Linked DNA regions of Mus musculus. The protein of the gene in region 2 interacts with the protein of the main gene of each other region in a biochemical or structural test. Links are inferred from orthologs where the notes say so. Each region holds a gene or a part of one and is shown on either strand. Other genes may lie near its edges. The genes, in order: Ptpn11, Kit, Ptpn6, Mpdz, Plcg1, Lyn and Src.

Region 1 (3,500 bases), about 46 Mb from region 2:
ATAGGCTTGGTGCATGCTAGCAAAGCACTCTATATACTGAGCTACATGCCCTGCCTGCAGTGTCAGAGTATCGGCAGAATACCCTCATTGCAGCAGCTGCAGTTAGTGTTCCTTACACAGATTCTATAGGGCTCCTACGTTTTCTCCAGGTAGATTTAGAATGTGCTTTAATTGTAACCTTTATCAACAGCTGATGAGCTTTGGGAGTTGGGGCAGAGAATACGGAGCTTGAGATGCCGAAATAGCAGCAGTGCTGCAAGGTGCTCTGACCAGTTATTTAGCAACAGTACCATCAGAGGTCAGGCTAAGCCCAGAAGTGGAAAAGCAGAGTCCTGAAGGACCAGCTTTTCATCAGCTTTTAGCATTCTCTCCCAAATGTGTAGCACATCCGTGTCTGTAGAGAAAGAACTGCCATGTTGTGAAGTTCTTCCTATGTGCGCTGCGGGGTGGGAGGGTGGTGGTGTTGGGAATGGGAGTTGAGAGCTGGTACTTGCTTTATTTACCTGGCATTGGCTTCTGCATTCTCCTCTCTCATTGCAGATCCTGGGTCTTGCCTTTCCCAGCTTTCTGTCCTACCTGCTAGAAATTTGTTTCTCTGGCTACTACTGTAGTCTCAAGCTGTCTCCACCTGCTTTAGATCTGCACGTGCCTTTCCAGGGGCATGTAGATGGAAGAATGCTACCAAGTCTGTGGTGATGAGTGTTACTGCTCGGGTTAGCGTCTTCCTTACCTAAAGCCATAGCGATCGAGTGACTGTGTCAGGATGTTTCTGTGACAGCTTAAGTTAAGAGCCTTGGTCTTAGAGTCTGCCATCTGATGGCTCTGGGCAGCCTGTATCAAGGGTTCCTAGCACACTAGCTAAAGTACAGATGTCTTGGTCCCATGTAGACGTTGTTCTCTCTGTCCATGAGAACTCACACTGTTAAGGAAACCCCTGTGCCTGCTCCAGGATGGAACACCATTAAAGCTTGACTGGATAGCCCAGTGTAGTTTGACCTGGCCAGCAGAGTCAGAGACAAGTACAATTAGGTTGGAAATAGGGAAAAAGCTGAAATGCTTTGAATTAGCTACAGCAAAGACCCCTTTGTATCTAGTGGCACGGCAGGAGCAGGTTCATGTGATCCCGGGTCTCTGATCACTTGTTTGTTTGTTGTTGGAATCCAGGCCTCATGTAGGCTGGGCTGTCTCCAGATGGCTGTGTAGCTGCAGATGACCTCGTACTCTTCATTTTCGGTCTCCTCTCCTCAGTGGATGGGGTCTCTGTCGGGGTTTCTGTTGCTGGGATAAAATGCTATATCCAAAAGCAACTTAGAGAGGAAAGGGCTTACTTCACCTTACAGCTTATAGTCCGTTATCCAGGGCAGTCAGGGCAGGAACTCGAGGCAGGACCCTGGAAGCAGGAACGGATGCAGAGGCCATAAAGGAATGGTCTTTACTGGCCCGCTCTCTTGGCTTGCTCAGCCTGCTTTCTTATAGTCCCCAGGATCACTAGCCAAAGGGTGGCATTACCAGCAGTGATGGGCCCTCCCCCATCAGTCATCAATTAAGAAGATGTGCAGTAGGTTAGCCCACAGACTAGTCTGATAGGGACATTTTCTCAATTGAGGCTTTCTCTTCCCAAGTGATGGTAGCTTCTATGAAGTTGACTAAAGCTAGCAGTGCACATGAATTATAAGCATGTACCACCACACCCAGTTGCAACTTTCTTACCTCTTCACTAAATGCAACAACTGGCTCTGTTAGAGTCAGGCACTAAAAAGTCAAATTGTGTATGTGGTCCCCCCCCTCCCCCCCGAGACAGGATTTCTCTGTGTAGCCCTGGGTGTCCTGGAACTCACTTTGTAGAGCAGGCTGGCCTCGAACTCAGAAATCCGCCTGCCTCTGCCTCCTGAGTGCTAGGATTAAAGGCGTGCACCACCACGCCTGGCTTTTTTTTTAAGATTTAGTTTTTATTATACATAAGTACACTGTAGCTGTCTTCAGACATACCAGAAGAGGGCATCAGATCTCATTACAGATGGTTGTGAGCCACCATGTGGTTGCTGGGATTTGAACTCAGGACCTCTGGAAGAGCAGTCAGTGCTCTTAACTGCTGAGCCATCTCTCCAGCCCCCAAATTGTGTTTTTAAAAGATGGGAGATTTAAGAGGAAATAGGAAGCATTGAGGATATAGTTTTTTTGTTTGTTTGGTTTGGTTTGGTTTGGTTTTGAGACAGGGTTTCTCTGTGTAGCCCTGGCTGTCCTGGAACTCACTCTGTAGACCAGGCTGGTCTAGAACTCGGATCCACCTGCCTCTGCCTCTCCAGTGTTTGGATTAAAGGTGTGTACCATCATTGTCTTGTGGACATTGTTTTCCAGTGATTCTGAGCTCCTTTAAAAGATTTAATGGAGGCCAGATGTGGTGGAGGCGCTCACAATATTGGCACTTAGGAGCCTGAGGCAGGACGGTCTACAGCTCAAGACCAACCTGGGTCACACAGTGAGACTGCCTCAAAAGAGAAAATCGAATTTTAGTTGTCATTTTTAACATATCTTTGTCATTTTTCCTGTCCAAGATGTAGACTGCCTGTCAGACAGTACCCTCTGGAGGAAGCTGTGTGTCAGGCGCCTGTGCTGAGCAGAGTGAGTGAGTGTGGTCCGTGAGAACGTGCCGCGCGCGCGCACACACCGCAGCTGAGCTCAGCTTGTTCCCTGTCAAATATGTTCACAGGTGGTTCCATGGTCACTTGTCTGGAAAAGAAGCAGAGAAGCTGCTGACGGAGAAGGGCAAGCATGGCAGCTTCCTCGTTCGAGAGAGCCAGAGCCACCCCGGAGACTTCGTTCTCTCCGTGCGCACTGGTGACGACAAAGGGGAGAGCAACGACGGCAAGTCCAAAGTGACCCACGTCATGATCCGCTGTCAGGTAGAGCACCATGGGGACTGTGGGCCCGCATCAGCTGCATTGGGGGCTTCTGCTGAGAGGACTAGACACCAGCACACCGCCTGTCCTTCTGTCCTTGCTTGGCTGCACCCCGTGTGGGGCCCATCGTTTTGAAGCACTGTTGTTGTTTCTTTCCTTTTAGTTGTTGCTGTGTTTTTCTGTTGGCTGTTTTGTTTCTGTTTTTCTGAGATGGGTTGTATGGATCCATGACTCCTGAAGCCCATTGGCTGGTGACACTGCACTGTCCCTCCCATGTCTGTGGGTGCACCCCTGGGGTCAGCAGACTTCAGAAAAGCATCCTGTGTCTATCTGAACACATGCAGACTGCTTTCTTGTCACATTCCCTAGTGTATAGCATCACGGCTGCACACATGACATCACGTGATGCTGGGCAGAGGCATGGTGAGGAGTCTGAGGTGATGGGAAGTGTGTTGTGTCATTATAGAGTTTACATTTGATTTTGATTTAATTCATTTTATGCCATTTATTGTCTTTGGTGCTGGGATGGAGCCTAGTACCTGTCCCATCACTGAGCTGCAGTCTCCTGCCTCCCCTGCCTTCCTCTCTTGCCGCCCCTGC
Region 2 (4,158 bases):
CCCGGATACTATAAAAACCCAGATTGTTACTGTCCACCCCCGGATAGCCACAGTGACTGTGAAATGTCCCTAGGTAGAAATTGTCTTAAGAGAATTACTTTAGGAGTTGGAGAGTTGGGTCAATTAGTTAAGAACAAGAAAGTTGGCGCATGACTTTAATCCCAGCACTTGGGAGGCAGAGGCAGGCGAATTTCTGAGTTCGAGGCAGCCTGGTCTACAAAGTGAGTTCCAGGACAGCCAGTAACCCTGTCTCGAAACAAACAAACAAACAAACAAAGAAACAAACAAAGAACAAGAGTAGTTGGGCTCCAGGCACCCACAAGATGATACACAAGCATCCGTAACTCTAGTTTCAGGAGATCTGACATCCTTCTGACCTCCCTGGGCACTAGTCACACACGTGGCACACACACATATTCATGTAAGTAAAACACTCATACACATTAAAAAAAAACTTTAAAAGGAAATTATTTTGCTTTTATCTTGCTCCTAAGGCAGACCACAGTCGGATCGAGTTGGGGAAAGGGGGACTCAGAGGGGATGGGGCGGGGGGGGGGTGTTGAGGGTGAGATTAAAAAAATAATTAACACAAGAGAAAAGGCACCCAAATGCAAATAGGTTTTAAAAACCGAGTTTCAAAGCTAACTCCTTCACAGGATGCCTCTGTAGTCCACTGGCCCAGTTTCCACAAGTCTCAGCAGGAGCTTGGCTGGGTGGAGGTCCACGCTGGCCAATAGAAATCAGCTGTATTCTTACAGGTTTCGCAGCAGGTGGAGAAACTGAGCATGAAAAATTACTTAAACGTGGGCTCGGTCTTTTACTGAGGTCAGGGGTGCCACGATCCGTCCTCCTCTACCAACAGGAACAGAAATAAATGTTGGGGACCCAGTTTCCTAATCCCTTCGCCCGGCAATCCCGACTAGTAACACCTCCACCATAAGCCGAATATATTCTCCCCGCTCCGGAGCTTGCTGGAGGGACCGGTGGTTGTCCTTTATTGTCTAGGGAGCACCTGCCAGGTGGCTGGCCCGTACCTAATGCGCTCGTGGCGCTGGGCTTCACAAAGCGCGGGCAGCACCTGCGTGGCCAGCCAGCCGCCTGGACTGAAGGACCACCGATGGAGGGAGAGTGCTAGGAGGAAGAGGATCCAGGGTGGAGGGCCTGTGGGGGCTCCTGGTCTTAGAGGGCACAGCGCCCCCGGGATCAGCTTATTGCAGCCCGAGAGCCCCGGGCACTAGGCAGCGGGAGGGAGTGCGACCCGGGCGGGAGAAGGGAGGGGCGTGGCCACGAGCTGGGAGGAGGGCTGGAGGAGGGGCTGTCGCGCGCCGCTAGTGGCTCTGGGGGCTCGGCTTTGCCGCGCTCGGTGCACTTGGGCGAGAGCTGTAGCAGAGAGAGGAGCTCAGAGTCTAGCGCAGCCACCGCGATGAGAGGCGCTCGCGGCGCCTGGGATCTGCTCTGCGTCCTGTTGGTCCTGCTCCGTGGCCAGACAGGTGGGAAAGAGCGGCAGACAAGAGGACTGCACCCTCTGTGGGCGCAGCCCGGGTCCGGGAGGGGTGCCACCTGGGTGCGTCCGGAGTGGTAGCTGTTGGCTTTTCCCATGCCTACCACCTCGAAGGTGGTAGGCGGCCGCGGGACTCTGGTGGCCCGCCTCGCTCACCTGAGCTGAGAGACCTCAGCCCGGGTGGTGGAGACCCGGGGCCGAGGGTCTTCTGGGAACCCAGGCAGCGAGCTGCAGGCTGCGGGCGAGTTTGGTGATGCTTTTGTGCCGACTGCGCGCGGGTGGCAGGGGCGGGCGGCCTCGGGCTTCGCACCGAGAGCGTCCTCTCTCCGAGCGAGGTGCGGCCACGGCTTCCTTTTTGTTAAAAGTTGCGCGTGGGTGACCGACGCCTGGGACAACCAGCCCACGGGTCCCGGACACACGCCGGGCAAAGTTGGAGAGCCTTTTCTTGCGGCCGCTGCTTCCCCACCTCGGGCGCTCTTTGTGCACAGTGCTGGGGACGCAACTGCAGCCGCTCTCATCGTGCGCGGCGCCACCCGAGGAGACGAATCTCGGGCTTGCTTGCCCCCACCCAACTCCGTTTTTTGCACGGGGAGCACGCGGCGTGAGGCTCTGGGGCGGGACCCCACGAGCCTGTAGGTGGCGGCTATGGGGACAACTTGAGCCGGGCGTGTGGCGAGCAGCCGCTAGGTTGCAGACTTTTTCCTTTTGTAAATCTCGTGCTAGGGGCTCGCCCCTCTCTGCAGCCGCACGGTGTTCGTTGCTGCCACGCGCCAGGGAGCTGCTGTAGCCTACGTTGGTCGCCAGCTTCTGGGAATCAGGGACTGCGTGCGGGGACGCAGCTGTTCTTGCCACCTCGTGCGCGCTGGACCAGGACCGAGTCAGTTCTCCCCAGCTTTGGAAACCTCTGGTTTCAGTGTATGCGACTTGTAATCGCAGGTGGCCGTTTTTTTTTTTTTTTTTTTTTTTTGGAGGGGAATCCCGAGATCCAGAAACCCTCTCCCACGTGATAGCCATACTCAGGGCTGCCTGGGGAGGCTAGGGGGTGGGGGAGAAGGGGTAAGCTTTCTGCAAATAGCATTTGTTTCTTCAAGCTGTTGGGAAAATCTTGTTACCTTTTGCAGGGTAACTTGGGTCTCAAGATCTTAAGGTTCCGGAGCTCCTCAGCCCTGCCCCTTTTTTTGCCAGGTGTCGCTGGTGCACTGCCCGTGCAGGTTGCCTGCTTAGTCCTGAAGCCCTGCTCCCTCCTAGGTCATTTTCAAAACAAAAACCAGAAACCCTTTTAGGTTACCTTGATGCTATAGGCTAGAGACAATCTGCACGCTGCAATAAGGCGTCAGATGGCCAGCATCTCTGTGACCTGTTTTGAGCCCACCGCTGACTGCGTTTTCCAGATCTCACTCCCTAGATGCTTTTGAAAGGCTGGGAGAGGGCTTTTTTTTTGTGGGGGAAGTCTTGCATCTGGACCTCTGCGCGCACAGAAGAGGGGTCACCAAGGGTCACAAATGAGTGTTCAGATTCCTAGGCATATTTGACCACTTAGCTGAAAATGACCCCAGTGATCTTTTACGTTTTCCACCTTGTTCTGCTTTAGAGCAAGGTGGAACGCCACAAAGATCACAGTTCCCTTTTGAAAACAGAAACGAGTCAATGGTTTGCATTTTCCCCCTGATTAGTCTGCTCTGGCCAATAACTTTTTGGCAGAGGGAATTTGAAGGTCTGATTCCTGGCACAGGGTGTGTTGTAATTCCTTTCTCTGTCTCTCCCGTTTCAGGCCTCCTTTTCAGCCATTCTGCCTCCTTGGTTTTGTGCCCTTGGGCGGTCATTTAAATTGGGAGTGGGTGTGTGTTGGGGGGGACTTTGGTTTCCACGGAAGGTACTTGAAGACATTTGCATCACGAAGGATCTGAGGAGTTCACAATTTCAGAAAGCAGCTTTCTTGTCTAAGGGCCTTTTGGGGTGTGTGTGTGTGTGTGTGTGTGTGTGTGTGTGTGTTACGGTTTTGCTCCAGGCTTTGCAGGAAGCAGTTTTGTGTTTTTGTTTATGCTGTAACCTTTGGAGGGCTAACCAGTGCCTGCTCTGCAGTAACCCCTCCTTCCGGGGCATTCACAGTGGGTTTACAGCTCAACAGGATGGTCCTAGAACAGTGAATCAGACCTCCTCCCCCTCCCCACACCCCCTGTTCCTGCAGGTGCAAGTCCCTAGTCATTCATGGTCATTCACGCACCTGGCATTCTGGCTTACGATCCTGCTGGAGATAATCTGATAGTTCCTTGAAGAGATCCTCAATAATTCCACGTCTCCCCCATTCTGGGCTCTCCCCATCCATCCACACATTCGTATGACGTTATAAATCATGTATGCCATGCTTTTGCAACACTCTTCCTACTGTGCTTTAAATATCATATCATGGATGTGTTTTGTGCATACTTGGGGCTTCACAATCAGTAAATGTCTGCAAGGCTCCCCATACTGAGGGCTTTGCCTGCCATTTCTGTACTCAGGGGCCCAGGAGGTTAGACCACTACAGTGTCTATTCCTATTCCACCATTGTTTTCCAATTGGAGAATAAGTCACTTGCCCAAAACAGCCAGTGAAGGAACCGGAGCTCAGCTCCGTGTGCCCAACTGTGCATCCATTATACAACTCACCAGAATCTG
Region 3 (2,948 bases), on a different chromosome or scaffold from region 2:
GTTTTCTCCACTGTGAAATATCCAGACTAACAGGTGGGGGTTGCAGCTCACTGAGAGAGCTATTCACTGCCTGCTGCCTAGCGTGTGAGAGGTCCTGGGCTTTGTCCCCCAGTACCACAAAAGAATAAAACAAAAACTACAGTGCCTAGAGTTAATTCTACAGCCTCTTTAACTAGTGCCTGGGTCTGTTGCCAGTGTGTACTGTGGCAGTGGCATTGTTCCGGGCAGCCAGGGAAGGCAGGTGAGCCCACATCACCCTCTGTGTAGGCTGGAGCACTTGCCTACGATATAGGAGGCCCTCGGTTCCATCCCCAGCATGAATGAGAGAGAGAACACAGAGCAATCTAAGCCCTAGGGCTGTTATGGGCATCTAGCCGTGTGAAGCCATATCATAGCTGGGGGAGGGGAGACTACACACAACCAGGTCTATCTGACCCCAGCCACACATGGCATCCCAGCCCGTCCTGCCCAGAGTCCCTGGATACAAGGGGCACAGACTTGGAGGCAATACACAGTGGTCCAGGGAATTTATTTACAAGAATAGAAGGGCCCGGCTCTCCCTGGGGACTTGCCGGGCTATATACAGATTCAGATGACCACAGTCACTTAAATTACAAGAAGATGGGGGTGGTCCTAGGGTCTGGTGAGGGCCACAGGTCTCAGTCTATCGGGTGGAAGCCTCTGCAGGGATCAAGGCTGATGCTGCAAATAAAAGAGAGGAAGTGGATCAAAGGTTGTCTGGGAAGGGGATACAAGAGCTAGGGACACCCTAGCAGGGTAGCGTGAGACTGTGACCGTGCCATGCACGCACGTCTGAACTGAAGTTGGGGAAATGGGGGCAGGGAGAGAAAGAACACACAGAAGGGGCCGCACCATGGCCACCTGCAGACGAATGCCCAGATCACTTCCTCTTGAGAGAACCTTTGTTCTTCTCCTTGTCTGCCGACCGCTGCTTCTTTACTTTCTCTTCCTTCTTGCTCTTGCTATGCACGTTTTCGTACACCTCCTCCTTGTGCCTGGGGTTGGGAGGGGACAGGAGGCATCTGGAGACTGTGCAGGGTGACCCAGCACCAGCAGCCCCTCTGAGACTCTCGGTATGTGAAGCCAGGAGAACAAGAGAGCCTGCTCACTCTGTACAGTGGACCCACATGGCCCGGGGACAGAGACGGCTTCTCACACAAGTCCATAGCACGGGCCCACGTGGGGTCCTAACGGGCACTTCAGGGAAAATTTAAGAACAGAGGGAATAGGAAGAAACTTGACCTTGAACCAGGGTTTCTCTAGCCTCCACACTAATCCACTCCAGAAAAGGACAGTTAGGGCTGGGCAGTGGGGGATAGAGCCTAGGAAGGCAAACAGAACCACTCACTTGGAGGAAGTACGCGAGGCTTTGGCGTGGGCACTCCTCACAGCGGGAGGGTACGTGATATTCCCATACTCCGACTCCTGGCCCTTCTGGGACTGTGGGCAAAGGTGCGGTGGGAGGATGGTGGTACCAGCAGGACTAGGTGATGCCCACACTCCCCTACCACCCACCAGCCCCACTCCGGACACACTTGTATGATCTCCAGTTTCTTCTTGGTCGTTTCGATGAACTGGGCAATGGCCACGTAAATAAACTTGTACTGGGCCTCGGTCTGCACCATGCCGGAGCGCTGTGCTCGTACCATCTGGATGGTCTTCTGGATATCAATGTCACAGTCTAGCCCTGGACAAGGGTGGCAGGGGAACTTCAGGGTAGACAAAGGCCAAGGGATGGCTTGCCCCCCTCTCACACCCACACACACTCCCCAGGGCTCCTCACCCTTGGTGGAGATGCTTTCCATAAGCATATCAATGACGATGATGGTGCCCGTGCGGCCGATGCCAGCGCTGCAGAGACAAGGGACTGCCATCAGAGGCCTGGCCCTCCCCAGGAAATGGTGAGTCTCGAGGTCCACCCCAGCACTAGACGAGGCAGGTGTGTGTGTGTGTGCATGTGTGTGTGTATAGAGGTCACTAGGGCAGTGAAGGAGGGGTTTGCCTCGCTCTGTCCCCATGTTTCTGCCCAGTCACAGGATAAACAAGCCAGGGCCTGTTTTGAGGTGCAGACACCTTTTCCCTCCTTCCAAGCATCTGTCCCCCACTCCTCACAAATGATGGCTGTCCTCGTCTCTTGGAGAAACAAGATCCACAACCTGTGGCTGGACAGTGGTGGAACATGCCTTTAATCCCAGCACTTGGGAGGCAGAGGCAGGTGGATTTCTGAGTTCGAGGCCAGCCTGGTCTACAAAGTGAGTTCCAGGACAGCCAGGGCTATACAGAGAAACCCTGTCTCGAAAAACCAAAAAAAAAAAAAAGATCCACAACCTGCCACCACTGTCCTGCCTTTCCTCGGATACCTGGGCTTCTCCCACTCCACCACCGCCCCTCCCCGAACTTTTTTTTTTTTTTTTTGGTTTTTCAAGAGGGAGTAACTCTTTAAAAATGGTGCTGTACCCCTTTAATTCCAGCACTTGGGAGGCAGAGGTTCAAGGCCAGCTTATTCTATTCTACACAGCAAGTTCCAGGTCAGCCAAGGCTACACAGAGAAACCCAGTCTTTACAAAGAAAGAAAGAAAGAAAGAAAGAAAGAAAGAAAGAAAGAAAGAAAGAAAGAAAGAAAGAAAGAAAGAAAGAAAGAAAGAAAGAGAAAGAAGGAAAGAAAGAAAGAGAAGGAAAGAAAGAAAGAAAGAAAGAAAGAAAGAAAGAAAGAAAGAAAGAAAGAAAGAAAGAAAAAGTTATTCAATGATTATCGTGCAAGCAAGCATGCTTATGGAAAAAAAAAAAAAAAGGCCAGGCAGAGTGGTCACGTAACCACACCACCAGGGGATGACAGGAGGTAGAGACAGCTCCCTGGCAGCCAACCTAGCTGAAGTGATAACCTTCAAGTTCAGTGAGAAACCCTCTCTCAAAAAGTAAGGTGGAAG
Region 4 (3,500 bases), on a different chromosome or scaffold from region 2:
GTTACCTAATCAGACATGAGTATACTACAAATAGCTCTTCACCCTACTACACTTCCTGGGTTTTCAGTTTTGATATTTTTGAGAGGACATCTTGCTCTTCTTCAATGAACTGTGATTGAAAATACTGAATATATTAGAAAACACACTAAATATAAAAGTATTAGAAAAGATAAAAGGTAAAGGGAGGCACATTTAAATTTTCAAGTTATTCAATGCTGCCCTTATCTTGTTCACAGTTGACTTTCCTCTCTGAAGTTGAGACTATCATTTATGATCCTACATTGTGGTTCTCTGAACTTTCATCCCCTCTCAATAAACTGGAAAAAGAAGGAGAGTTTCTGTGCTATGAAAGCATTCAATAAATAGCATCTTTCTTATCTGTAACATAGAGGATATACTATCTGTAGTTTGAATCAGGTAAAGCATAAAGCACAGAACCAAGTGAGTGTGTGTGTTTGTGACCTTTTTTTTTCTCCTTTCTTTTTCTGTAGCCCTCCACAGTCTAAGACCATTACGCTAGACCGAGGACCAGATGGCTTAGGCTTCAGCATTGTAGGCGGCTATGGCAGCCCTCATGGAGACTTACCAATTTATGTGAAAACAGTGTTTGCAAAGGTAAGCTTACAAGGTTTACCCATTCTGTTCCTTACTAGACATTAATTAACACTGGTCAGCAGCTAGCTTATTAGTTTAAGGCCTGACGTGACGCCAAATGGTTAACATTGATATTTTCTTTTGAAATCTCTGCAGGAACAGGTTATTAAATGTTTTTATCCTAATTGAGGTTTAGTTATGTTTAGAGAAAATTAGTTCAAATTGAAACTCCATGGAAACTCTCAGTGATATACATGAAACAATCGATGCAGCCTGTCCCTTCCATTGAATAGAAAGTCACACATGATTACCTTTTGAATATGGACTTTGATAATATATCTGCTGTCAAGAACTGGCATGTTTTCCTCCGTGTTCTTTTATAGTTGTGAAATCTAAAGTAGGTACAGAAAAATACACAAAATTAATCTCACATTATGACTAGGGTGTTTATACATTAATTTCATTGAAAAGAGAAAAAGAATTGAGGAGTAGTGAGCAGACCTGCTGTCTGTAATAAAGCATTATTTGCAATCAAGGGATTCAGTTACTTATGAAAAGAAAGCTCTGTGTATAGTTGTAATCATCCACTGAACCATCTTAAGAATGTTTAGAATAAGAATAAAGAGACTGTAATTTTGATGAAGTCATTAAAATAATAGAAATGCATATAATGGTTGGTAATGTGTTGTTAAGATCTATTTTCAAAGACTACAAATTTGAACAACGTTTCCTGCAGAAGAGAACTCAGAATCTCACATTTTACAGTGGAAAAGAACAGAGTGAACATCAGGCCTGTAAAGATTCCACTTGGGCTCTTTAAATGCTCCTTTATGTTATGGAAGTTTCTATTATTTTAGAAAAACACTACTATTTTCAACCAATTTAAAGTGCTGTTCTGTGGCAAACTAGCTGTAGGCTTAATTTGTAAGTTGTTTTTTTTTTTTTAAGTTATTGGTACATCCAAAAATACAGACAGCATTTGCCAATGAATAGAAGCGCCATGCAATCCTTTTCCTCGGCCTAGGAACAATTTATTTAAGGCATGCTAGTTAGAACATATTTTAAGAATTTCATCATTATACGCTCCTCATTAACTCTTCCATATTTTTAATCTTATATTTAATTGCATAATTATCGTCTATGTTCATGCCTGAGATGGAGTTCTTTTTTAAATAGTGATGTCTGTGTTTAATCATAATTATTTAGAGCCTATAGGAATAGGAAGACTCTCTTTTCCCTTGCAGTAAAAACCAAGACAGCTTGAGCAGTCTTTCTTTGCAAAGCTTAGAAAGAATGACACTTAGCAGTGCTGGGGGGCTCGTGTCTGAGCTGTGTGCTGGGATGGAACTCAGAGCCCGATTGATGCTGAACAAGCATTGCATGAGCGGTGTCTCCCCAGACCAGCACTGGCTTTTAAATTCTCACTCTGCCTTACCCTGATCAGCCTCTATGTGGGCTTTCTGGCTCAGCAAACCTGTGGACTCTCAAGTCTCCATAGCTTTGTTTGATGAGGCTGCTTTTGTTCTCCCTGATCCTTTGTCTTTCTGTAGGCCCTCTTTATAGTCTGAAAAAGCCTCCGTTTCTGTGAAATCATTCCTGTTAGGCAGATGCCCAAATATTCTTTATTAATTTTAGTTGCCACCAATTGCTGTCCTAAACAGCCAAAAAAAAAAAAAAAAAAAAAAAAAAAAAAAAAAAAAAAAAAAAAAAAAAAAAATTCCAGCTACTCTGTTGACTGCTAGCTAACTTCACTACCAGATTGGAATGTCAGTGTTAAACCAATTTGGAAGAAGGACCTCTTTTTTTTAAGTATGTTCATCATGTCTGATGGTATGGGGCACCGGGAGCCATGTATGTGTACATGCAGAGCAATTTGCATTCTTCTTTGGCTCTTTTTCTTTGTGTGTGGCTGAGTTCTTTCACAAGTAAATAAGCCTACTTTATACTTGCAGGGAGCAGCAGCAGAAGATGGGCGTCTAAAAAGGGGCGATCAGATCATTGCTGTCAATGGGCAAAGTCTAGAAGGAGTGACCCATGAAGAAGCTGTTGCCATCCTCAAGAGGACAAAGGGCACCGTCACCCTCATGGTTCTCTCTTGAAGTGACTGCCAGAGCTGAAGCAGCCCAGCCACTGGCTCCCCTCCTACTGTAACAGAGAGGACCTGTTTGTATGCTGTGTTGGTCGGAGAAAACTACAGTAGGGAGGCGAGAAACAGAGTGTTTGTTACTCACAGCCAAGCATCATTTTTCCTTTACTCTGCATTTCATGATCATATACTCAAAAAGAAGAGATATTTGCATAGATAAACCTCAGTTTTATCTCGACAATATCTAACAATTTAAGGTCACGTGGACAAAATTATTATATGTTCATCTTGTTAGTGTGGAAACAAAATGATACAAAGTTAGGCAATTAGGTTAAAGATGGAAATTTAGAAAAAAAGAAGACAGTTTTGAGTTTTATAGGACTTCTTCAATCCAGCAGTCCAAAAGAAGAAAAGAAAGTGCTTGCAATACTTTTGAATAGTCTACTGTTTTAAAATTGTGACATATTGGTCCTACTTACCTCTAATGCATATTTTTCTGCTAAAATTGTTTAGCAGTCCTTGTAAGCTTTAAAAAGAAATTCCTGTTTAGTGCATATCTCGGTGTTTGTTTTCAGTTTTAACCTGCTATATTTTCATGTTGTTATAGGTAAAGTGCTGATGCTACCCTGTGTTGGCTAGAGTTCTAGGAAACATCCATGTAGCCATGGGAGACAGAGAAGGAGCCCAGAGTGTTCTAATGCTGATGTAGCAGACTGATACTACGTGGAAAACATGTTACTGTACCATGCTATTGTTTTTCCATTAGTATTAATCTTAATGACATAGAAAAAGACAGCGTGTTAGTAATTATTTTGGTTGT
Region 5 (3,500 bases), on a different chromosome or scaffold from region 2:
TGGAGCCGGTCGACAGCCCACAGCTCCTGCCAGGTAAAGAAGTCATGGAGGAGGCCACCAATGATGAAGCCACCCTGCAGCCTAACTCCCTGGCCCAGACATACCCCCTGGTATTCAAGGAGGAACTGCTGGAACTCAGAAAGGGACACCTGGCAATGCTCCGGACGCTCTCCAGTCCTGTAGGGAGAAAACCTAGTGTCTGGCACTGGCTGACAAAGGGCCCCCGTCTAGTGTAGATACCCAGTGGTTTATTATGCCCCATCCCCATCTACCCACTGCTTCCCACCTGGATCTGAAACCACCCAGAGAAAAAGCCCAATTGGCTGTTCCAAACCAAACCTCAAAGCGTTGGTTTCCAAGAAGGGAAGGTCCATCTGCAGAGAACAGAATCTGGTCAGGAGGAGCCCTGGGAGGCCATGCAGGAAAGGGGCTCTTAAGAAAAGGCTAGGGAGCAGATGCCCCGGGGGAGGGGTGTGTGTGGCTAGAGTAATGGCACCAAAACCACTCCAAAGCAGGGCAGCAGGGCTATGAGAGAAGGCAGAGGAGTTGGGCCAAGGACAGGGAGGGTGGGAGGTTCATGCACCGTCTTCTGGGCGCTGTACATGAGGCTGCGGTACAGCTGAGCAAACTGCCCGTAGGTGATGTCCCCGCTGCGCTGTTCAAGGTCCTACATAGTACAGAGCAAAACTGCCAGTCAAGCCCCTTAGGAGGAGTCACTGGCCTCCCCTTCCTTGCCAGAGGATAGCCCCAAGTGTCCATTACCGTCAGCCGCTCTCGGAGGAAGCGCATATTGGGGACTCGGTAGTTGACCTGAGACAGCATGTTCTTCAAGTCCTTGGCTGATATACTAAGGGGAGAAAAAGGATTCCCTTTTGACTTTAGGCTGAACCTAAGGATGGACAGGTAAACACCTATACTCTGGGAACCTGCAGTCTTAAGAGCAACACTCTTTCAAACTTCATGCTGTGCTAGATGGAGCGAGTTCCTGCCTTTCTCTGGGCCTCAAGTTTCTGCAGTGAAAGAGAAAAAGCCCAATAGCCACAAGTGACCAAGCTCAGGAAAGCAGAGGAAAGCAGGTCAGGCTGGGATGGGAGGCAGAATAAGCCATTTCCAGCAGTTGCCCCCAGCTCTGATCTGCTGCCTGTACAGGGCAGGGCAGTGCCCACTGCCACTAACGGAGGCATCCTAGGACCCACAGTCCCCAGGATAGGTAGCAGGGAAGGGAGCGCGGGCACCCTTAGCCATGTGTAACTGCTGCTGCTGAGCACACTCCTGAGGCTCCAGGAAAAGAACTCAGAGAGAGGGACAGAAGGGAAGAGAGAAGAGGGAGAGGAGAGGGAGACAGAGAGAGAAGAGAGCATCAGCGCACTCTACCCTCTAAGCATAGCAGCTTGGACAACAACAGGATGAAAAAGCTGGAAAAGGATGCTCTCCTGGGAGGAGTGGGTGCTGGAGAGAGAACACACCCTCTTCTGGCCTAAAGCCAGGCACGAAAGACCAAAATTCCCTAAGGCTCGGATCTTCACCAATAATTGAATGTCCTGGAACAGGTAGTTCCCAAAGTAATGCTGCGCCCTTTTAATACAGTTCCTCCTCACGTTGTGGTGACCTCCAACTAGAAAATTATTTTATCACTACTTCCTAACTGTAACTTTGCTACTGTTATGAATCCTAATGTAAATGTCTGCTGTGCAGAAAGTCTTAGGTGACTCCTGGGAAAGGGTCATCCAACCCCCCCCACAGGGGTCGAGACCCACAGGTTGAGAACCAATGCCCTAGAGTCAAGGCTCTGCGGGGAGCATTGGGTCACCTGACCCTCAGTCAGCCAGGAAGCTGCAGTCAAGCCTGTCTCCTCCCTTTCCCGCTGTCATAAAAATCACACTGCTCTCTCCACCCTGCCCTGCTTAATTCTGTGTTTGTTGTCCCTTCCCCTCTATGCAAAACTCCTTTTTTAAGAGTATTTATTTATTTATTTATTTGATGTATGTGAGTACATTGTTGCTGTCTTCAGACACGCCAGAAGAGGGCATTGGAGCCCATTACAGATGGTTGTGAGCCACCATGTGTTGCTGGGAATTGACCTCTGAGTGAGTGCTCTTAAGCGCTGAGCCATCCGTCCAGCGCTATGGAAAACTCTCACAAGACTCACCTGCAATCTCCTCTGCCCCTAAGCTGCTCACCACGGACTGAAGCTGCTTTCCCCACAACATGACTACTCAGAAGGGTTAAGCATACTCCTCCTTTCCTAGCTTCCCATGTGGAAGCAGTCTGCAGCTGCCACTTGGCCTCTTCCCTTTTCTTGCTATCTGGGTCCCTGAGTTTTTATCTGGGGACCCCAAGAGTTTCCATTTCACCTGTCCACAGTCCTGTGTTACTACCTCCAGCCCGACCTCCTCATTTGAACTCATTCTACCAGCCTGGTAACTCCATACCTCTCTACCTGGGAATCTATTATGCACCATAAAACTTACATCCATACTGGACCCTAAGCTCCCACAGTAAGTTCCTCCCACTGTCTTCTTGTCTCAGCCAATGGCAACTTTACTTCCCAGTTGCGCATGTCAAAAGCCTATTGATCTCTGACTTTTTAGATGCAATTTTAAACAAAGAACATAGCCCAAATCCAGCTAATTCCTACTATTATTACCTCAACCTGAGCCCTCTCACCTACACCCAGAATGGTCGGACAGTGTCTAACAGCCCTCTACAGCAGTATGATCTTGGTTGTGTTTGCCTAGTTTTATGTCTTCTTGACACAAGCCAGAGTCATCGGTAAAAGAGAGAGCTTCGATTGAGAAAATGCCTCTGTAAGATCCAGCTGTAGGCAAGCCTGCAGGGCATTTTCTTAATTAGTGATTGGTGTGGGAGGGCCCAGCTCTATGTTGGTGGGTAGGGACACCTCTAGGCTGGTAGTCGTGGACTCTATAAGAAAGCAGGCTGAGTAAGCCATGAGGAGCAAGCCAGTAAGCAGCACCCCTCCATGGCCTCTGCATCAGCTCCTGCCTCCAGGATCCTGCACTGTTTGAGTTCCTGAGCTGGTTTCCTTTGGTGATCAACAGCAACGAGGAAGCCAATTGAAGCTGAATAAACCCTTACCTCCCCAAGCTGTTCGTTCATGGTGTTTCACTGCAGCAATTGTAAGCCTATGTAGGACACTGGGGAAACTCTAGGTCAGAGCAGGTCACTCCTCTACACATCCCATGGCTTCCTGCCTCTGGGGGACCTTGCAACAGTACAAAGCAGCACTGACAGCAGGCCATCTGGTCTCTGCTTCCTCCAGCTCCTGGTGCTCTGGCTGCATTGCCAGTTACACCTAGAAGTCCAGCACTATCTCTGTACCCCACGCTCAGCAGCATGGACTACTTTTGTGTCAGAGCCCCTAACCCCTCCCAATGTAACTCAGTTCTATGGACCCTCTGGCTCCAATGCTCTGGGTGCCTCTACCCACTGGTTAGGCATCCGCCTCAGCTTAGCACCTACCGATCCTCTCGGTTACGATC
Region 6 (4,285 bases), on a different chromosome or scaffold from region 2:
GCCAATGTCACCGGTTAATGTCCTTCAGTGTTGTGTTAATCTATGTATCCAAGGGATCACTGGTCCCCGTGAGCTGTAACAATGTCTTATGCTGTATACGTGTGCATATTGTATTCCTATTTATGAAATCAGTGAAGGTTTCTTATATGGTTCCAAGTAGTATCTCTGTAAAAACAAACTCTAATCTCAAGTGTTCCTGTAATTTATTTCTGAACAGAAACACTGCAGGAACTAGGAGGTCTTGAAAGTCTCTGATTTGCCAAGCTGTGCAAGACTACTTTTTCTGCTAAAAGGAAGACACTGGCCATGGAAGGGGAGTATCACAAAGCAACCATAGACTCTAAGATAAATTAGGGTGACTGCCTCTACAGAAACTGTTGTGTTTTCTCCAAGGCATGCAGAGAACAGTCCTGACCAGGGATTTCCATTGAAGGTTCCGGTGCCATTCTAAAATGTCCTCCTACCCTTGTTACAGAAACCAAGACAGAAGACCCCAACTCCATGTGTCCAGTAGGCAACCTTCCTTCCTCCTTCTAAGACATCTTCACTGAGCACTTACTTATCAGGCACCAGGCACTAGGACTTCATGTGGGACAAGAGAGATAACGTTGTTGTCTTGGCATTGACATTGTCTGGATGAAGAGCCCGTGAACATGGAAATATGTCAATATAACTGATGCTGCCCTGATGGAATGCTGACTCAGTCCATGGCCCAAGTGACTGGTCCAAAACTTCAGCTCTGGCAAACAGTGCCTACAACACACCTCCTGAGCTCTCTTCCTCCACATCTACTGTCCTCTTCAAGGCTCAGAAAGTTACTCCACTTACATATAGCCCAAACGGATCATAACCAAGGCTCTTGGGAGCTGAATTTTTAAAACAACAAAACCCCCAAATCACCCTGCCTTTCTCCAAATGAGGACCTGGATAGGCAGCAATCCTGAGGGGAGGAGAGTTTCATTTCACTTAAGAAGGGCCCAGGAAGCCGGGCTTGGTGGCGCACGCCTTTAATCCCAGCACTCGGGAGGCAGAGACAGGCAGATTTCTGAGTTCGAGGCCAGCCTGGTCTACAGAGTGAGTTCCAGGACAGCCAGGACTATACAGAGAAACCCTGTCTCGACCCCCCCCCCCAAAAAAAAAGAGAAGGGACCAGGAAGTTCCTGAACCCACAGGGCATAGCCTATTTCCCTAAAACATGTTATGGGTGTTAACTCCACAGAGAGAAAACACCCTACAGATAGCCGAGCTTCGGAGCAAAGAGTCCATCGTCTTCCACGTTAGGTCTTAAGATCTCTTGAACTGGGGGAATCCCAGGAACCTCTGAGGCAGCACAGCACACGTTTCAGGTGTTTTATTAGATAGATTTTCAAGTCAGCTAGCTCACTCAGACATGTGGTCTCGGGTTTAAAAATCGCCAAACTGCCAACCACCAAAGGCCTCCGATTTTATAGATGATCAGTTGTACCAAGTAACTTTCATATAACATTATATTCATATAATGTTCAAGGACCTTCAGTGTACTAAACCTATGAAGTAGGTTCATAGTCAATCAGGCGGAAACCCAAACCGGGAACTTCAATAATTCGCAGTCACTGAGAGAATGCAGGGCCTAGATTCCCACCTGGATTCTGAACAGCAAAGAAGTTGGGCGGATTAGCATAATTAACAAAAACACCGGTACTCCAATAAATAAAGAGACAACCACAAGCACCCCAAGTAGCGGGGACTATTGGGAAAAAAAACAAAAAACAAAAAACACTACACCAACAGCATAGGGAAGTCACTATAGTCAGCCAAGATAAGGCAGGCAAGTGGGAACTGTCGCACACACCCTTCCCCCATTCAGAAGGAAAGGCATCCCTGAATTCTTAAAATAACTCTAGCTTCCTCTTGGCCAAGGCGTTGGACTACTCCTCTGCGGGCTGACAGAAGTCGAGCTACGCGGGAGGTCAAGCTACAGCCTCTGTGGCAGCCGTTCGACGTCACCACCTTGCCTCGAGTCAACAGGGACCTCAGCTGTCAGCCAACCTTAGAGAGGGGCTGGGTTCAAACCCCCCTTCTCATCCCTGGGGACTCAAGGTCCGATCTGGACACTAAATACTGGATCCCAGATGACTCCCTCTGGAATCCCCACCGCGCTCCCTTTCGGAGTGGACTCAGGCCACTTCTCTCTGCCAGGCAAGAGAAGCTGGAGAGGGGCATGGGAGAGACTTGACGCCAAGGACCCAGGGGCGCCCACCCTGTGCGCACTGCCCACCACGCCTCCGCGCCGCTCCGCTGCGGACACCTGCGGAGTCGCCGCCCCCGCGTCCCCGCTCGATCGCCCCGGCGAGTCACAGTCTCCCAAGGCTGAAGGAGTCTAGATGCTCTCGCCACCCGGGGCCAGCGCGAGCGCCACCAAGAAGCAGTGCGCGACCTCTGCTGCGGGCGCCGTGGCTGCACCGAAACCCGGAGTCCCAAGCCAAGAAAGCGACCTGTGATCCGGTCTCTGACCCAGCCCCGGTCCCTGCCCGGTCCACCCTACGCACCCACCCTGCGCTCAAGCCCCGGACTTACTCGCTCGTGGTGGAAGTTTCGGGGCGGCGGAACTCCACGGTGACTTCGGTTAAAAGCTGTTCACGCGACGGGATAGCCCTGCGGGGCCCGCCTGGGAAGCAGCTGCGGGCCGGTGTCTTAGGACGCGTGACCGGGACTTGCGGGCACACTGCTCGGGGAACAGTGCCCGGCCTGCAGCAACCTATTAGCTGCAGAACGTTGGCCGGGAGGCGCCCAGGCCCGGCTCGGTGGGAGAGGAACTGGCTGTCGCTGGGCTCGGCCGAGAGGTCCCAGCTACTTCCTGGTGCTCGAATTTGCATACTGTGCTGGGAGGGCGGGGAAGTGACCGTTTGGTTCCTGTCCAAGGTTTGGTATTTGGTGTAGCCATCGCTCAGGGTTTTACAAGCAAACAGACTTTGGAGACCCAGACCGCAAGTTGGGAGAGTGGCGGTAGCCTCGGAAACAACATTCTCCCCAGGGCTGCGTGGAAGATCTAGGGGTTCTCGAGGGTCGTGGAAAACGTTCACCTTACTTCACTGTTCCTTAGGACCCAACTCCTCAATGCACTGTGTCTTGGGAGCAGAAGCAGCACTCTCTGTGTGTGTTTGGAGCTTCCAGAGAGAAAAAAACCGGTATCAGCGAGTAGATGTTTGGAGGGTATGGCGAGGGGGAATCTTTGCTTTAACAATCAAAACATCAAATTCCTTAAAGGTGTACAAGGAGTGCTGAAGATATTCACTGGAATGAGGAGTGGGAACTCGCTATGGAGTTAAAGGGCATGCCAATAGCTGAAAGCTTCCAGGAAAATGGAGCTAAGACTACTTATCAAGAACTGTCCTCTGTAGCAGGCTCGCATTGATTAGCATGTGGTCCTGGTAACATTACTGCATTCCTAACAAATGCTGTGTCCTTGTGTTCCTATGTGTACACAGTACTTGGCATACTGTAGGTACATAACCAGTGTGTGTTGTAAGATTGCTTGTTCAAACCAAATTTTGACTTGATAAATGCCCCTTACTGAACCAAGATATGCAATTAGCCTCAGTCACTATGATACCCACTTATGCTAATCTGACTTCTGTTTTCTGGGATTCCCTAATTGCAGTTCAACAGGTCAGAACAGGTACCTTGTAACAAAGTCCAGTACAGCTGTCATTTGTTACTAATGAAGGAAGACTAACATTTGTGAGCACACTGATTCACCAGTTTTGTTGTTTTTCTTTTCTTTTTTTCAGACAGGGTTTCTCGTTGTAACCCTGGGTGTTCTAGAACTCACCCTGCAGATTATGCTGGGCTTGAAACCAGCAATCTGCTTCCCAAGTGCTGGAATTAAAGGTGTGCACCAGCATTTCCTGGCCCCTCCATTTTTCAGTCAACCAGGGACTATGAAGATGGTGCCAGAGATTATAATGGAGCTGAAAAATCTGTATCACTTAGTGGTGTCGTAGCTGTCATAGCTCTTTCAGTGTGACAGTGCAAGACAGATCTACAGCGTTTGTGATGATGCTGATACCAACAAGTCCTCTCTACCGTTGTGGACCATGACTCCTGATTGCATCAAAAAGGACATAAAGTGAGTGACCTGGAGCACATAGGTTTAAGTGAGTGTACGATGTCTACCAGAAGACGAAATCACCAAAGAGCATGCTTCTTAGAGTGCCCCCATCACTAAGCCACAGGAATAACTCCTCAAACAAAAACAGTAGGAAGGTGGTTATTCCTATAATGAACAGTGCTACTGTCACTGTCC
Region 7 (4,111 bases), on a different chromosome or scaffold from region 2:
TGCTCTCCAGCTCCCTCCCAAGTTTCTCCCTCACCCTCACCCCGACCCTGCACTGCACTTCCTGATCCTTGGGCTCTCAGTGCCTCTGGCTTTCTGGGTTGAACTCCTACTAAACCTAGCTTCTTCCTCTTCTTCTTCCTTCTCCTCTTCCTCCTCCTCCTTCTGAGACCTGATCAGGGCTCCCACAGAATATGCAAGTCCAGACTGCACATCTATTCCATTAGCTGTGTACCTTGCCCTCCAGCTTAATCTGGTTCATAGAGAGGATACCCACCTGCTCCCTATGTAAAAACTGGAGGCCAAGATCCTCCTCCAGGCTCCAGTGGGCCCTCATAGGGAGCAGTCCTATTGATAGCGGCCCCATTGGATCATCCTATCTCATAGCTCTCCCTTTGGTTCCCCACAACAATTATACACCTCCCCTCACCTCAGGGCCTTTGCACATACACACCTCTCTCTGCCTGGCACACCTTCCCCTAGCTTCATGCCCAGACGCCCCCTAAATTCCTCCTTCAAGAGTCCTCTGCCTTTATCACAGCCACGAGTATATATTCATTTATCTGGCCACTTGCTTGATGCATGGCCTATCCCCCACACTCCAGTTTCTAGGAGTCAAAGACCTGCTCACAGTTTCCCAGCAAGTCCCCAGGCAGATGACCTTCTGAATAGAAAGGAAGAGCACTGACCCAGCTGCATTCTTGGCTGGCCCGCCACTGCTTCACTCAGCTTAAGCCCCTCCTCCAGGAAGCTGTCTGCTCCTCCTACCACAAAGCTGCTCAACAAAGTTCCCAGGCCCTGGTGCATAGTATATGCTCAATGCGCGATCAAAGTCAGCAGATGGACAGCAAGAACAAAGATCATTTAACCATGTCCTTCCGAGATTCCTGGGGGGCTAGGGGAGCGAGACACACCCTATCCTCACCCCCACCCTCAGATGACAATCAGGGAAGAAGCCCCAAACAGGAGCCAGCCTATGTGCTGGAGGCTGGTGGGGGAGAGGGGGTTCGGGAAAAGGACACAGGAGATAGAGGAAGGTGGGGTGGGAGAGATTAGGGTTGCCCTAAGGCTGGGATGAACAAGGATGAACAAGAGACTAGGGGGAGGGGACGGAGCAGGGAGCATGGCACTCCTAGCACTCATTAGTGTGTGCCCCATGATGTAGACAGGAGGTCAGCTGAGAGGTGACACACTGTAAATCACTTCCCTTGTGGAAAGGTTACCTCACCCAGACACACCTCATCTCCAGTAGGGCCTTATGTCTCTGCCAGGTGCGAGAGATATGGAGGGAAACTTCCAACAATGCCTTGTGCCTGATCTAAAACTACACACCCTTCACCGTCACGGTGGGTTAAAGGGCAGCCAGACAGCTCCTCAGGAAGGCTATATCCTCCTCTGCAGCTGCAGACCAGGCTAACCCCGGGAGGCGTTCACTGGATATCAGCAGCTCTGGTTATAACTGCTCCATTTTCTTTCCTGTGGTTCTGCAGCTAGCACCAGGGCCTTGAACAAGCTGAGCCTGTGCTCTACCACCGAGCTACCTCACAAGCCAACTGATCGATCCTCCCTGAGAGGACTGAGGCCAAAGGGAACCCTTTGTAGCACGGAGTTACCCGCTTCTGCAGGCAGCTGTGCCACAGGTACCTCAACCATCCTGTGCGAGCGAGCTCCAGGATGGGACTCATTTATTGAGCACGCCCCCCCATATATGCCAAGTCCTGGGCTGCGGAAGTGCAGGGAATAGTCACTGATGTGAATAGTCCAAGGGGCGGTCCCTGGCTCAGGTCACTCAGGAAAACAAGAAACCTAGACACCTGGACTCCATAAGGTTGGAAGAGTCCCCTGCCCCCGCCCCTGCCCCCGCCCCCGTGTCCACCTTGGTAACTAAATCTGACCTATACCCAGATGACCCCAACACCACTTGCCTTCACTGGGCAGTCTGTAAAGCCGGGAAGACCTCAGGGTCCCAGAAGCCTCACACACCTCTGTCCACCTTTCTAATCGGAATGCCTCAAAGGTTTATGGGATGGATACCCAGAGTGAGTCCCCTCTGTTCACCCCACCCTTCAACCAGCCCACCTACCACTGAGGAGGGCCTTGGCTCAGAGAGCTAACTAAGGCACAAGTGGTGGTGGGTCGTAGTAGGGGGCACAAACTCACCTCCAGTACCTGCCTGGGTGGGCAAGCGGACCTGGTGGCGGTAGTGAAACCCCAAAACTTTTGCCAACTTCTGAGTCCATCGGTCGCTGGGCCTGCGCAGGGGCGAGGCTGGGGGTTGGGGGGGATGGGGGGCGAGGACAGGGTGGCCCTGTTTCTTCCAGACCAGCAGCACTAGGCCCTACCCAAGGCCCCAGTGAGACCTAAGGAGGTAGTGTGGCCCTCCAGGTGCCCCTTCCCCAACGCCCACCCCACCCCCACCGCCCACTCCGGGCCGGGGGCGCCAGGCCCAGCAGCCGCGATCGCGGGCGGCGCCGATCGGCCGGGTTTTCAAATGTGGCCTAACCGAGCCAGGGGACTCTGCGGCCGAGGGTCCCCGCGTTCCGGTGCCCCCCGCACCCCGCTCGTCCTCCCCCGCGCATCCCAACAAAAGGCCGCGGCGGGCAGCTCGCGGGCCGCGGCGTAGAGTGGGCAGGGCGGGAGCCCGCAGCAGGGCGCGGGGCCGGCGGGGCGGGGGCGCTCACCTGCACGGCGACCGTGAGCTCCGGACGCGCCCGGGCGGACCCCAGCGGGGCGCGCGGCGCTGGCGGGCAGCGGCCTGGCCGCTCCGGCGGGGCGGCCGGTTGGATTCCGGGCCCGGAGAGACAGACCGAGAGAAAGGGAGGAGGCGGCGGCGGTGGCGGCGGCGGCGGCGAGGGGGAGGGAGCGCGCGGGAGGAGGGGCCGCGGCCGCCGCGAGCCGGAGAAAGGAGGAAGCGCGGACCCGGGCCCCGCCGGCGACCCGGGAGACCTGCTGTGCGAGCCGGGCCCGCGCCTCCCGCACCCAGCCCCCCACCCCCCGCAGCTCCGCCCGCGGGGGCGCCCCCCCAACCCCACGCCACGCGCCGGGCTCGGCCTCCCGGGACCACGTTAGCGTTCAACCCTAGCTACCTGAGCTACGCACCGGTGGCTAGCACTGTCCGGAAACTGAGGCACTGGCCACACCAGCCTTGACCCTGAGTGTCTCTAATCCTCAGAGACTGGAACCGAAGGGACAGGGAAATAGTGAGGGGGAGAGGCAGTATTGTTAAAATGTATCAAAAGGCAAAACAGTGGCTCACTATGTGGCCAAGGCTGGCCTTGAACTTGCGGAGCCTCCAGCCTCTGCCAATGGAGGGCAGGAACTTGCGGGGCCCAGCTCAATTAGGCCAAGCCTAAATTCACTTTCAATGCATAAGGAGACCGTGTGCATCTGCTGGGCAGTGTGCTTGTTGCCAGCCACTGAGGATGACAGAACCAACCGGACAGGAAGTAGAGAAGAAAAATGGGGCAAGCGGGATGAGATGTGGCTTCAGGCTGGTCTCAAAGACCACCAGGTTCTAGCGCTGCCCGTTGGGGGTCCAGGAGCATCCTTGACTCCTCCCGTTCACTCTGGAAAGATGGGCCTGACCATCTATCAACCATCTCCATGTTCCTTCCTTGAAAGTGCTTCCATCTCACAGACAGGGAAACTGAGGTTCATGTGGCACAGGCCTGGGCTTCTGGCAAAGATCCCTCCCAAAGGGCAAGTCCCCCATCATCCTAGATTGTGAGAGGCTCCAGCCCCAGGGTACAGCTATGTCTCCCAGGAGACCAGGAAAGGGCAAAGCTTTGAGTCAGACTGATCTGAGGTCACATCTAGGCCAGGTGCCTCAGGGTGTGTTCTGTCCACTAGCTTCCTGTTCCAGCCCCCTCTGTTGTGAAGAAGGAGTGGGCCAGGCTGAAGATCTGAGGGCCTCACTGACAAGAGCAAGTGGGGCCAGGGTAGCCCACTGTGGCCACGGGGACTGCTCAGGGTTTCTCATGAACAGCGGGCAAACTAGCCAGCCACTCCTGTTCGCAGGGCTTGCTTAAAGATTAACGGCAGTTTCCCAGGGCTCCCCTGGGCAGGCTCTGGCTGGAGGAGCAGGTTTCTCCGCCCTCCTCCATGCCTAAGATTT

The links.
Region 1: the proteins of Kit (region 2) and Ptpn11 form a complex in vitro, tested with the Homo sapiens proteins (3 studies listed by BioGRID and IntAct, with this or other methods). The link is inferred for Mus musculus from reciprocal best matches to the Homo sapiens genes KIT and PTPN11.
Region 3: the proteins of Kit (region 2) and Ptpn6 form a complex in vitro, tested with the Homo sapiens proteins (2 studies listed by BioGRID). The link is inferred for Mus musculus from reciprocal best matches to the Homo sapiens genes KIT and PTPN6.
Region 4: the proteins of Kit (region 2) and Mpdz form a complex in vitro, tested with the Homo sapiens proteins (2 studies listed by BioGRID and IntAct, with this or other methods). The link is inferred for Mus musculus from reciprocal best matches to the Homo sapiens genes KIT and MPDZ.
Region 5: the proteins of Kit (region 2) and Plcg1 form a complex in vitro, tested with the Homo sapiens proteins (3 studies listed by BioGRID and IntAct, with this or other methods). The link is inferred for Mus musculus from reciprocal best matches to the Homo sapiens genes KIT and PLCG1.
Region 6: the proteins of Kit (region 2) and Lyn form a complex in vitro, tested with the Homo sapiens proteins (2 studies listed by BioGRID and IntAct, with this or other methods). The link is inferred for Mus musculus from reciprocal best matches to the Homo sapiens genes KIT and LYN.
Region 7: the proteins of Kit (region 2) and Src form a complex in vitro, tested with the Homo sapiens proteins (3 studies listed by BioGRID and IntAct, with this or other methods). The link is inferred for Mus musculus from reciprocal best matches to the Homo sapiens genes KIT and SRC.

The regions. Positions count from the first base shown.
Region 1 is NC_000071.6:121,163,898-121,167,397, reverse strand, and holds part of Ptpn11 (tyrosine-protein phosphatase non-receptor type 11), read left to right. Parts: intron 1-2,710; coding exon 2,711-2,903; intron 2,904-3,500. UniProt on the Homo sapiens protein: Acts downstream of various receptor and cytoplasmic protein tyrosine kinases to participate in the signal transduction from the cell surface to the nucleus. Positively regulates MAPK signal transduction pathway. Dephosphorylates GAB1, ARHGAP35 and EGFR.
Region 2 is NC_000071.6:75,573,629-75,577,786, forward strand, and holds the start of Kit (mast/stem cell growth factor receptor Kit isoform 1 precursor), read left to right. Parts: upstream 1-1,358; 5' UTR 1,359-1,423; coding exon 1,424-1,490; intron 1,491-2,114; exon of another isoform or gene 2,115-2,418; coding exon of another isoform or gene 2,419-2,437; intron 2,438-4,158. UniProt on the Homo sapiens protein: Tyrosine-protein kinase that acts as a cell-surface receptor for the cytokine KITLG/SCF and plays an essential role in the regulation of cell survival and proliferation, hematopoiesis, stem cell maintenance, gametogenesis, mast cell development, migration and function, and in melanogenesis.
Region 3 is NC_000072.6:124,720,207-124,723,154, forward strand, and holds the end of Ptpn6 (tyrosine-protein phosphatase non-receptor type 6), read right to left. Parts: intron 1,873-2,948; coding exon 1,805-1,872; intron 1,709-1,804; coding exon 1,557-1,708; intron 1,462-1,556; coding exon 1,370-1,461; intron 1,017-1,369; coding exon 902-1,016; 3' UTR 874-901; exon of another isoform or gene 703-873; 3' UTR 501-702; downstream 1-500. UniProt on the Homo sapiens protein: Tyrosine phosphatase enzyme that plays important roles in controlling immune signaling pathways and fundamental physiological processes such as hematopoiesis.
Region 4 is NC_000070.6:81,278,816-81,282,315, reverse strand, and holds part of Mpdz (multiple PDZ domain protein), read left to right. Parts: intron 1-491; coding exon 492-615; intron 616-2,546; coding exon 2,547-2,693; 3' UTR 2,694-3,500. UniProt on the Homo sapiens protein: Member of the NMDAR signaling complex that may play a role in control of AMPAR potentiation and synaptic plasticity in excitatory synapses. Promotes clustering of HT2RC at the cell surface.
Region 5 is NC_000068.7:160,748,310-160,751,809, reverse strand, and holds part of Plcg1 (1-phosphatidylinositol 4,5-bisphosphate phosphodiesterase gamma-1), read right to left. Parts: coding exon 3,481-3,500; intron 848-3,480; coding exon 763-847; intron 668-762; coding exon 584-667; intron 375-583; coding exon 340-374; intron 178-339; coding exon 105-177; intron 27-104; coding exon 1-26. UniProt on the Homo sapiens protein: Mediates the production of the second messenger molecules diacylglycerol (DAG) and inositol 1,4,5-trisphosphate (IP3). Plays an important role in the regulation of intracellular signaling cascades.
Region 6 is NC_000070.6:3,676,636-3,680,920, reverse strand, and holds the start of Lyn (tyrosine-protein kinase Lyn), read right to left. Parts: upstream 2,801-4,285; 5' UTR 2,557-2,800; intron 1-2,556. UniProt on the Homo sapiens protein: Non-receptor tyrosine-protein kinase that transmits signals from cell surface receptors and plays an important role in the regulation of innate and adaptive immune responses, hematopoiesis, responses to growth factors and cytokines, integrin signaling, but also responses to DNA damage and genotoxic agents.
Region 7 is NC_000068.7:157,422,982-157,427,092, reverse strand, and holds the start of Src (neuronal proto-oncogene tyrosine-protein kinase Src), read right to left. Parts: upstream 2,801-4,111; 5' UTR 2,679-2,800; intron 2,266-2,678; exon of another isoform or gene 2,158-2,265; intron 1-2,157. UniProt on the Homo sapiens protein: Non-receptor protein tyrosine kinase which is activated following engagement of many different classes of cellular receptors including immune response receptors, integrins and other adhesion receptors, receptor protein tyrosine kinases, G protein-coupled receptors as well as cytokine receptors.